3 linked regions of the Neodiprion lecontei genome follow. The protein of the gene in region 2 purifies or fractionates together with the protein of the main gene of each other region. This does not show direct contact. Links are inferred from orthologs where the notes say so. Each region holds a gene or a part of one and is shown on either strand. Other genes may lie near its edges. The genes, in order: elongation factor 1-gamma, valine--tRNA ligase and elongation factor 1-beta'.

Region 1 (3,758 bases), on a different chromosome or scaffold from region 2:
AGAACCTGCTTTGTTACCACAATAGAGCGGTCTCTCAAATTGCAAACTGATGAACCACCAATTGCACCTCCATCAGTTAAATATCCTGGAGTCAAAACTATAACTGTACCCGGATCAGTACGTGAAAAAGCTTTCGAATTATTGTGGGAGCGAGACAATGACAATTTGAGTGTACCAACCATGATACTAGATGCTATAGTGAAGGTAACCATTATGTACTAATAATGTGAATATTAGATTGATTAATTTTATTAGATTTCTTTCCAAAAATGTGACCGCTTACCAATTATTCTGTATTTTATTGTTCATTGCAGTGCCCTGTAGACATGAGACATCCGCTTGCTGAAAATATTCTGCTGATTGGAGGAACGACAATGGCAAAAGGATTTTTGCCACGTTTGAAATCTGAACTTTTGACATTACTGAAGAGTAACTTATATTCTGAGAAATTAAAAATAAGTACAGTCAAGTTTCATAAGGCACCAAGCAAAGCTAATTACACAGCATGGCTTGGTGGTGCTATATTTGGTATTGCAGATTTGCCACTACGTTGTTTGACGAAAGAAAATTACCTCATGTCAAACAGAGTCCCAGATTGGGCAAGCTTAATTGATAATCAGAAATCAGACTCATTGATAAATAGTATGTAAACTATTATGTCTACCTAATTCGTAAAAAAATTAACCTGATACCTAATGTTCTTATAAAGTTCCAATTTTCAACAGTGAGGTAGTAACCCAATTAAAAATCGTTACTCAAAATTAATGTTTTTTTTTTTTTTCTTGCATAGAATTTACTTTATTCTATAATGTCACAAAACGGTTTAAAATGATATGTTGGAACGAGATGGTCTTATTTTTAGCAGTCACGAGGAACTTCAGATGCCTGTAATGTAAAATATATTTAATAATTTATAATTCGTATAATAAAGAAATTGTAAGAATAAAAAAAATCGATCACATTCATACTTTGTATCAAACTAATTTCATCTAATTTTGGTTCGACCTAGTTATATATGTTTTATTGCGGAGAAATGTGTACGTGCACCCACTGAGATTTGTGATATTTCCCGTCGCCGGGTGACAATTCGAGAAATAGTGAAAAAAAAGAACAGCTGTGAAGGAGAAAGGCGCGCAGGCGCTTCGTCATGAGCCGGCTTTCGATCTCTAGACTTCCTCTTCCTGTAGCTCGGCACAATGGCGTCCGGAGTAAGTGTTTTTACGCGAAATATTCTTCGTAAAACATCACCGTCTTGTTCGACGAATCGGTCACGTGAATGCGTGCAATATGACAATTAAACATCATACATTTATATGGCGTGTAAATTTTTTTAGACCCTGTACACGTACCCAGAGAACTTCAGGGCCTACAAGGCGCTGATCGCAGCCCAATATTCCGGTGCTAAGGTTAAAATTGCCGAAGATTTCATTTTCGGCGAAACCAATAAGAGCGATGCCTTCCTGAAAAAATTTCCTCTTGGAAAGGTGAGATTAATTTCTATTTTGGTTACATTTTTTTTATACGTCTATCACTGAAATATCATCAGTCATCGATGGATTCTGTCTTAAGTCTTATCGCCGTGGTATGCTGACACCGCTTTATGTCACGCATATTTTACTGCCGACGTGTTTTTAATAACGCCGAATGTTTGTTGAAGGTTCCAGCTTTCGAGACTGCTGATGGCAAATATATCACCGAAAGCAATGCAATTGCTTACTATGGTATGCATAATCAACATTTTTACCCTCAGCTAAAAATATTTTTTCTCTTTATTGTTTTCATTCGTTGTTGTTTTTTTTTTTATCTTTTTCCTTTTTAATTAATTTTTACAATTCAAGAATAACATATTATACGTTGTATGCATTCTACCTCTTAATTAATTTCAATACGTGATATTTATTTAAATATTTGTCTTCTGCTTCAATTTCACATCAGTATTGTGAGCTTGATGCTGAATTATACATATACTTTGGGTGACAGATAGGTATGAAATTTTCACGTTTTATGACATACAATTTCCGAAACAACTGGTTTTAATTTCTATCATTTATTGTTTTTGCCGATCTCTTTGCCAAAAGTTTGTGCTATTTTTGTGTTTCTAGTTGCCAATGAGCAGCTGAGAGGCAAAACTGACATTGAGAGAGCAGAAATTGTGCAATGGTTTGGATTTGCCGATTCGGAGATCCTTCCTGCCAGCTGTGCTTGGGTTTTCCCATTATTAGGCCTCATGCAATACAACAAACAGGTATGAAATTCTTGTCCACCGTAAAACAAAATTTTCTTATTTTACAAAGAATTCAATGTTCATGATATTTTATTACAGTTTAGATTTGGCTAAAGTTGTTCTGCAAAACTGCATAAACATGAGAAATCCCATCATGGCATTAGTTTGACATTTATCACATCGCCTTTGTTCAAAGACGAGCCTGAATGTTTTAAATTCAAGTTTCGTAACACGAGAAGGCAGATGAATCTATGCTGAATATTCAAACGCATCTGTCATTCTTTTATACATTTGCGTACCAATATTGCTGACATTGAAACAAATAATTAGCTACCTTACTATTGCGATGAATGTTTTCATATGTTCTTCAGCTTGCATAATACGTTTAACGTTTTACTTCTCTTATCCCCAAAAAAAAAAAAAAAAAAAAAAAATTAAATAATATCAAAACTATCCAGTGTTTTAAACATTGTACAGGTACTGGGTGTATCAGAGAACATATTAGCAAGGATTTTGCAATTTTCGTAATTAATCTTTCAGACTATAGAACATGCCAAGGACGATGTTAAGAAAGCTTTGACAGCTTTGAATTCACATCTATTAACAAGGACGTACTTGGTTGGGGAACGACTTACTTTGGCAGATATTAGTGTTGCTACAACTCTACTGCATTTATATCAGTATATTTTGGAACCGAGTTTACGCAAGCCGTATCAAAATGTGAACAGATGGTTCCAAACTGTTATATATCAGCCAGAGTCCATCAATGTAATCGGTGCTTTTAAACTGGCTGACAAAACTCTTGAATATGATCCCAAGAAGTTTGCTGACGTTCAAGAAAAAGTGAGCAAAAAATATAGATATACAGTATTGTTCATGTGAAATACCATTTATTTATAAAATACTACCTTATTCCAAAATATGTTGCATGGTACTATGAACTTGTGGCTTTAGTCAGCAGCTAGTAGTAATTTCGAAGTATTTTATCATCAATAATTAGCAGTCAAAGTATTAAATAACCGTTCATCTTCAGTTTGTCATATACCGATCTACTACTGAACAGCTTTCAAATATTATGAATTTTTAGTCATCTGCAAAGAAAGAAAAGAAGGAAAAACGAAAGGAACAGAAAAAGGAACCTAAAGAACCTCGCGAGGCAGATGTAGATTTAGCTGATGAAATAGCAGCTGCTGAACCCAAATCTAAGGATCCATTTGACACAATGCCTAAAGGTACTTTTGATATGGATAGTTTCAAGCGTTGTTACTCCAATGAAGAAGAGACTGTCTCCATTCCTTTCTTCTGGAAAGAATTTGATCCTGAACATTACAGCATCTGGTTTGGAGAATACAAATACCCTGAAGAGTTGACAAAGGTAAACTCGTTATACTGAATTCTCTGCCGGGATTTGAATTTCATTCAGTTTTTCATGTAGCAAGAATATTTTTGGAGATATTATGAATTACCTACGGTTAAAATATAATCATATTTAAGATTGTATTCGTTAATCTTACATTGTCCAGGTGTTCATGTC
Region 2 (3,758 bases):
AACTCTCCATTTTCAACAACCTTGATAGCATCAGCAGCCATTTCATCACACTTGACGTACCTATAATTGCAAGATATAATTTCGTGTATCAAGCTTCTCTTAAAGAGTGAAGAAATGTCATCAAATGTAGACAGGATTTACCAACCACTGCGGTTTCATTAGTGGTTCAACGACGTCCTTGGATCGACTACAAATTGGTACAACCATTGCATTGTCTTTGGTCTCAATATATAATCCTCTTTCCGTCAATTGTTGCAGAATAGCCTTTCGCGCATCGAATCTTTTCATACCCTGAAATGATAGAAGCATGCACTAATCTCTCAACACTTCAACTATCATATAATTAATTTTAGTTTATTTGAATTGAGGATGATAAGTACCGTGAATTTGCCATAGTTTCCGATGATATTTCCCGCGTCATCAAAAATTGTTATAAATGGCAAGTCGTGCCTCTTTCCAACTTCATAATCATTAGGGTCATGCGCAGGTGTTATTTTCACAGCGCCTAATTAATGCAACGAGAATTAAGCCAAGATGTTCTCTTTCAAAGTAGCAAAGATGATAATTTACCTGTTCCAAATTCCATTTCCACAAAATCGTCAGTTATGATCGGTATCTTTCTATCGCAGAAAGGATGTTTCACGTATTTACCAATCAGGTGAGAATAACGAGCATCCTTGGGGTGTACTGCGACCGCAACATCTCCAAGCATTGTTTCAATACGAGTTGTAGCAACCACAACCTTTTCATTTGAGTCTTCTATTTCGTATGCAAATGATACGAGAACACCAAACTCAACTTTCTCTTTGTAGCCAGGAATAGCGAGAAAAGTTCTGCCAGGTAGCTCCATTTTGTCCACCTTGGAACGACAATGATCAGTTTATTTATTACCATTGAGATGTAATGAGACAGGAAATAGGAACAATTGTTACCTCAATATCGGAAATTGCACTTTTCAACGTACAAGACCAATTCACAAGACGATTACTCCTGTAAATATCCCCTGACTCATGCAGACGTACGAAAGCTTCGGTAACAGCGCGGCAGAGTTTTGGATCCATTGTGAAACAAGCGCGATCCCAATCAAAGGAGCTCCCGAGTTTACGAAGTTGCTCATAGATTCGATCTCCTTTTCTGCAGATTTGTAGAAAATTATAAAATTAACACCTAGATACATCGTACCAAAAACCAGGTCATGTTGCACTCACTCATTTTTCCACTCCCAAACTTTTTCCACAAATTTTTCCCTCCCGATGTCATGACGTGTCTTTTGTTCGTTCCTCCATAATTTCTTTTCAACTACCACTTGAGTCGCTATTCCAGCATGATCACAACCCGGATTCCAAAGTGTCGTTCGCCCCTTCATACGATTCCTGAAGTTCGAATGGTAAATCAACTATGTTACAAGGAGGAAGGAAAAATGATTTGAACAACTAAAAAATATATTATAATAGAAACTATCGACTTACCATCGGGTAATTACATCCTCGATCGCATTTGTCAGTGCATGTCCAAGATGTAAGGAACCAGTGACATTAGGTGGTGGAATAACCATGACAAATGTGCCTTTGGGATTTGTTTCGTTGATGCTTTTACGCTGGAAACGTGGTATACGATGAATGTGAATTGAATTCCTCTGCGTACGATGTCAGACACAACAAATTTATCACTGAAGGACTTTAACCAAACTTACTCCATATTCGGGTTTGAAGAAACCCTCGTTTCTCCACCAGGAATACCACGCTGCCTCGACAAAACGAGGGCTGTAGGCATCAGGCATCGGACAATTGACATCCTTCTTTTCCCCCTCTAGAGTGTTTATGGTATATAATACTGCTTGCTTGCTTTCCAGCTTTTTTTCAACCTTCTGCAAAACGTGTATACCTTAATGAATTTTTTTGTTTTCATGTAAAACCAAGGCGATCCAAGTATGTGAATGCGACAGGAAACCATATGGATTATGGAAACGTCATTGTTGCAGTTAACAATCAGGCAGAATTAAATAAAGTGAATGCGAAAATTACCTCAGGTTTTTCTTTGGGCTTAGTTGAAGCAGTGGTTTCTTTTTTATCTAGTTTTTGTTTGAACTTCTCCAATTTAGCCAACTTCTTAGCCTCTTTCTCAAGCTGTTTCGCTGTCTTTGGTTTCGCAGCCTCTCCCTCGGCTCCGTTTGCTGCCGTTTCAACCATTTTTATTGCAAATTATTCAAAACAAATAAATAATTCTCAGTTTACGGTATCGCGTGTTATTCGCTGCCTCGCTGAAAATCCCCGAAAATGTCAATATTGAAAACTTAACCAATTACTCCGCGTGGCCTGCACGCTGTCTAGCTGATGTGAGAACAGAAAGGATTGCAAAAGCTGCAGGCGCAATGTTATGTGATTCGCTGTTTCGACGGAATCCATTATCAAGCGAGTTTCAAAAATGGGACAATTATTTGATTCTTCGCTAGCTAGGCCGAGTCGCACTGTGTTGTGTAATGTAATTCTTTAGAAATGAGAGTTTATACAGTTCCGTCTGAATATAGAAAGAAGAAAATAATTATATCCATCAGTAGAGTAACAAGGTGCACTGAAAATAATGCATAGGTTTGAGGTTATTTCGAGAATAGCTTATAAGCTTGAAATATAATTTTTTCCAAATCCTTAAATAATTTTGCAGCGTCAAAGACAACTTAGATCGCACAAATTTATGAACCGAAGCTTTTTAATTTTGTACAGTACTTATCGGCCCGTCATTCAGACGAATCAATGTAAAGAACCTTTGAAATTCGCAACCAATTGTATGAACTGTACATTATGTGACCTGCCTGTATAATAGTGTTTTTCGATACTAGTGCGCGAAGGTGGCAATGCCCGCACAAGCATGAAGGCGCAGCACGAGCCTGGAGACGAGTTGAAGGGCGAGTGTGGCGCATTCACGCGAGATAGGCATTGCCAACTTTCGCACGTGTATCGAACTCTATTTTTTGCTACACCTGTAATGGAAAGTCCGACATACACGATTATTTTTACACGAAACCACGGCACGATGTCTGTTTAGTGACGATGCAGCGATGTCGAGCACGGCAAAGAGTGACAAACTATTCCATCGGTAGGGCTAGTGGAGCTGTTTGCGAAATACGCAACTGTGGATAAAAGCGCGACGGTCTTTTTCGCACACCGCTAGCAATGTGCGAAGGTTCATCTTATACCGCCGGCAATGTGCGAAGGTTTTTTTCTCACACCCCTAGTAATGCGCGAAAGTTTTTCCCGCACATGTGTATAAAAGACTACTTTCGGTGCTTGTAAATGGTGCATAAAAATGGACTTTCCACGCAGGTGTTGCAAAAAATTAATTGTAAGATTAGCAAGTGCATATGTGTTCCGTGCAATCGTTGCGGTATATCTCGAGATTCGGTATTCTGTTCAGTAAACTGTAGGTCCTCGAATGCAGTTTTCGGTTTAACTGGTGTACGTGTATTTGAATTGAAAGTTTAAAAGAAAGATTTTGGGAAAATATGAGGGATCTACGTTATGTGGAAGATCGTGCTCATTTGATTTTTCATGTTTTTTTCAATTTATTTTTTTTGAATTTGTGAAGAATCACGTCGTAGGACTTCGATTCTTATTTCTTTCCTAAAACTTATATTCAACTCAAAGATCACGATCCATAACACAACGATATATCAACCGGGAATCTTATTCTTCTAAATCAAAAGTTCATAATATTAAATTATAACTATTTTATGAGGTTTACAGATCCTGTACCTAGTGAAA
Region 3 (3,297 bases), on a different chromosome or scaffold from region 2:
AGCTCCGTCGTTTGTAAGACAAGATTAGATTACGTGAGAACATATAATTCAAAAGATCAATCTGCAAAATACTAGCCCAGCAATATGCAACTGCTATTTCTGATGCCACTTATATACTCGTCCAGCTTTGTTCTTATACACCGATTAATTATCTTTCTGACTGTAAATGAGTGTGGTCAATCAAAGATTACAAGTTATTTGGCTGTTTACCCTTCAAACAGTATAATACTATAAAGCTTAGAATGAATGATAGCTCAGGTTCACCAGGATCTTCAAGATTTAAATAAAAAGAAAAGATTGAAATTTTCATTTCAGACGGAATAATATACCTGGCCAAATATTAATTTATTGCTAGTTGAGTGCAGTAATTTTCATAGTAATTTATAGGAAGAGTCGTATTAGATGAGTTGATCTAATCCGCAACAATTATACATACGACTTAGGTAGGAAAAACAATAACTATTAGCACACTAGATTTAAGACCGGTAACGGAATTTCGCTAGGAGTATAAAGTAACAGCTTGTATTTACAAACAATTAATATTTATTAATTCAATATTGACGGAGCAGACGATATTTAAATCTTGTTGAAGGCTGCAATGTCAACTGACTGTACAAAGTCTTCGAAGTTTTGGATTTCTTCAACTAATAAGTCGACGGAAACTTTGTCGTCCTCTACAACACACATGATCTGTAACTTGTTGATTCCATATCCCACAGGCACGAGTTTTGCTAGAAATTCCAATATTCTCAATTAAAACAATTCATTCGAAAATCATTACCAAAAACAAGCAGAGAATACTTACAAGCACCCCAAACCAGGCCGTCCATAGAAATAGACCTCACATGCTTTTCCATTTCTTTCATGTCTGTTTCGTCATCCCATGGTTTGACATCCAACACAATACTGGACTTGGCAATTAATGTAGGTTTTTTGGACTTCTTTTCTGCATACGCTTTGAGCCTTTCCTCTCTAACTTTAGCAGCTTCCGCATCTTCCTCTTCGTCGGATCCAAACAAATCTACATCATCGTCGTCGTCAGCTGGTTTGGCAGCCTTGGGCGGTGGAGCAGTCTCAGTTCCACCCAAGATGGAAGGGACTTTTTTCACGCCCGGAAGAGACTTGTGTTCATAGGATTTGATGTGTGTGTACCATCTCTGGACATGGGGATTCGATCCCAATGCAGCGTTCCCCAAAGCTTCAAACACTGCGACATCCGCTTGCGAAGGTTGCCATCTACGTAAGAGTGCCAACGTATTAGAACTCCAACGATAATTTGTTGTAATGTATGTATACAATATAAAATAAAACTATTCATCAATGAAAATAAGACGTAACCACAAATTGGCGAATCACAAAAATATGTTGCATCAGATAGCTCGCTCAGATTTATTTTTGGAATCTTCGAATTGGGGAATATGGAACGAGTTCCGAAGTTGCAAAGCCGGGTGGGCAAGGTGATAGTTGACAGGCCAATCTTAATAACTTTTAGCATGCAAAAATATCGTTGCGAACGACTAGAAAGTCTTGACATTCGAATGAAACATGACGATGTGAGGAGACATTATTAACAAAAAAAAATTTATGTCAGTGAATCTTCGTCTGTACGGATAATAAATAAGATTGGTGACTGAAACGGAAGAGACCGACAGAGGTTGACTTTACATGCCGACAAGTGGAACACGTGAGTTAAAATATGCACAGAAACCCCGTATAATATACTTGCCCTTCGATGTAGCTGCGGTCGGCAAGAAAACGGTTCAACTCCTTCAAACCCTTGTCAGTCTTAAGATCACCAATGGCCATTGCGAGCGTGTATTTTATTAATAAATATTATACGAAAGTTGCGGCAGTCTGCCTCTCTAGTCTACTCGCCGGAAGAGAGAGCTGCTGATACGCAGGGTTCATTTAGTCCGGACAATACTTTACTTTTTATGAGTGATGCATTTCCGGTTGAGTTTCTGCCAATCGAATCGCGAATCGCTAAAGAACAACCGGAAAAGTCGATGCTACTTGAGAATTCTTGCGACTATTTCAAGCAGAGGACGTATTAATTTATATAGATATTTTTTTAAATTTAGAAATCACCTGCAATAGAACCACTTGGTGTGTAGAACAAAACGCGTTACGGAAAAAAACAACATTGGACAAATTCGTCTAACCAATGGACTTCGCATCTGATTTTACCTTTTTGTTCTGCGTCAACTGCGCAAAGTAAATTCTAACATACAATTGCATACATAAACCCATTTTAAGCAATTCCGCCTATTTTTCGTGCTTAGCTCCCGTCATCTGCTGATAGATTTTTTTTTGAGTAAACTAATTTAATTGCACTCAATTTCTCGTACTTGTAATTTTTTTCTCAAATTTTCGACCAGTCTCCATATGATTGTACCAAGCTGTCTGCTCTGAAAGGCGACAGTCCTGACACCTGAAGGTAAGGGACTTCGTTTTTCTTGACTTCGGTAATTGTTTGATTTTTCAACAATAATTTATAGGCCAATTATCATCGGTAGTTATAACAAAATCATTTTGCAATTTTTGGTCCCCATTGTTTCTCTTGCAAAGTGTTACGTCACTTCAACCATGTATATTCATTTTATCGGTTCTGTTACAACATCGTGAGTTAGGTTAACACATCGGCCAAATACCTTTGCGTTACAGGACTGTTTTATTATATAACAAAAATCAGCATGATTTGTTGATTGATTTTTAGAAAATGTTGCGGCTTCCACTGATTAGAGCGGCTGGTCTGTCGGGATGCAGGCTTGGTGCCACTGGACTCCATACCACAGCCAGTAAGCTGCAAGCCCCACCTGAGCAGATCGAGGTGTTTATTGACGACATCCCTGTGCTAGTTGATCCAGGAACTACTGTACTCCAGGTACACGAAATTTCACATGTCCCCTCTTATAAACTCCAATTTTACATTGAAAAGAATTTTAGAATTCTAGATTCTGGCTAGTTGATCTCTTTTAAACCATAACTCGAACAGCATAGAAAGAATATTTGCTCCGACATCTGTTTACATTGATCTCTATGAACATAACAGTGCTGATTAATAAATAGAATTCATAAATACTGACCAAAGTTTGATATTGCGCTGAATGAGCAGAAAATGAAGGTATTATGACCATGAAAAGCAATTGTTTAATGCAGAAATTAAGTAGAAAATGTTTGTCCCCAGTTGGAAGATAAATATCGATTTATAGGATTACAACAAAATTGACGAAACAAGTCAACTTCATGCAACTCAAAACAATGTATGAGATACTTCAAAATAATGAAATATACAAG

The links.
Region 1: the proteins of valine--tRNA ligase (region 2) and elongation factor 1-gamma purify together in Homo sapiens (affinity purification with mass spectrometry; 6 studies listed by BioGRID and IntAct, counting the BioPlex papers as one, with this or other methods). This does not show direct contact. The link is inferred for Neodiprion lecontei from reciprocal best matches to the Homo sapiens genes VARS1 and EEF1G.
Region 3: the proteins of valine--tRNA ligase (region 2) and elongation factor 1-beta' fractionate together in Homo sapiens (co-fractionation; 3 studies listed by BioGRID, with this or other methods). This does not show direct contact. The link is inferred for Neodiprion lecontei from reciprocal best matches to the Homo sapiens genes VARS1 and EEF1B2.

The regions. Positions count from the first base shown.
Region 1 is NC_060265.1:25,265,940-25,269,697, reverse strand, and holds the start of elongation factor 1-gamma, read left to right. Parts: upstream 1-1,150; 5' UTR 1,151-1,196; coding exon 1,197-1,208; intron 1,209-1,334; coding exon 1,335-1,484; intron 1,485-1,657; coding exon 1,658-1,721; intron 1,722-2,102; coding exon 2,103-2,245; intron 2,246-2,764; coding exon 2,765-3,067; intron 3,068-3,311; coding exon 3,312-3,599; intron 3,600-3,747; coding exon 3,748-3,758. Other genes in the region: actin-related protein 10, read left to right, coding at 1-204, 315-650. UniProt on the Homo sapiens protein: Probably plays a role in anchoring the complex to other cellular components.
Region 2 is NC_060261.1:2,225,973-2,229,730, reverse strand, and holds the start of valine--tRNA ligase, read right to left. Parts: upstream 2,829-3,758; 5' UTR 2,810-2,828; intron 2,560-2,809; exon of another isoform or gene 2,261-2,559; 5' UTR 2,190-2,260; coding exon 2,025-2,189; intron 1,868-2,024; coding exon 1,694-1,867; intron 1,598-1,693; coding exon 1,470-1,597; intron 1,374-1,469; coding exon 1,209-1,373; intron 1,135-1,208; coding exon 933-1,134; intron 860-932; coding exon 571-859; intron 506-570; coding exon 381-505; intron 292-380; coding exon 146-291; intron 61-145; coding exon 1-60. UniProt on the Homo sapiens protein: Catalyzes the attachment of valine to tRNA(Val).
Region 3 is NC_060260.1:30,773,525-30,776,821, forward strand, and holds elongation factor 1-beta', read right to left. Parts: upstream 1,884-3,297; 5' UTR 1,807-1,883; coding exon 1,727-1,806; intron 1,237-1,726; coding exon 806-1,236; intron 732-805; coding exon 577-731; 3' UTR 526-576; downstream 1-525. Other genes in the region: NADH-ubiquinone oxidoreductase 75 kDa subunit, mitochondrial, read left to right, coding at 2,720-2,884. UniProt on the Homo sapiens protein: Catalytic subunit of the guanine nucleotide exchange factor (GEF) (eEF1B subcomplex) of the eukaryotic elongation factor 1 complex (eEF1).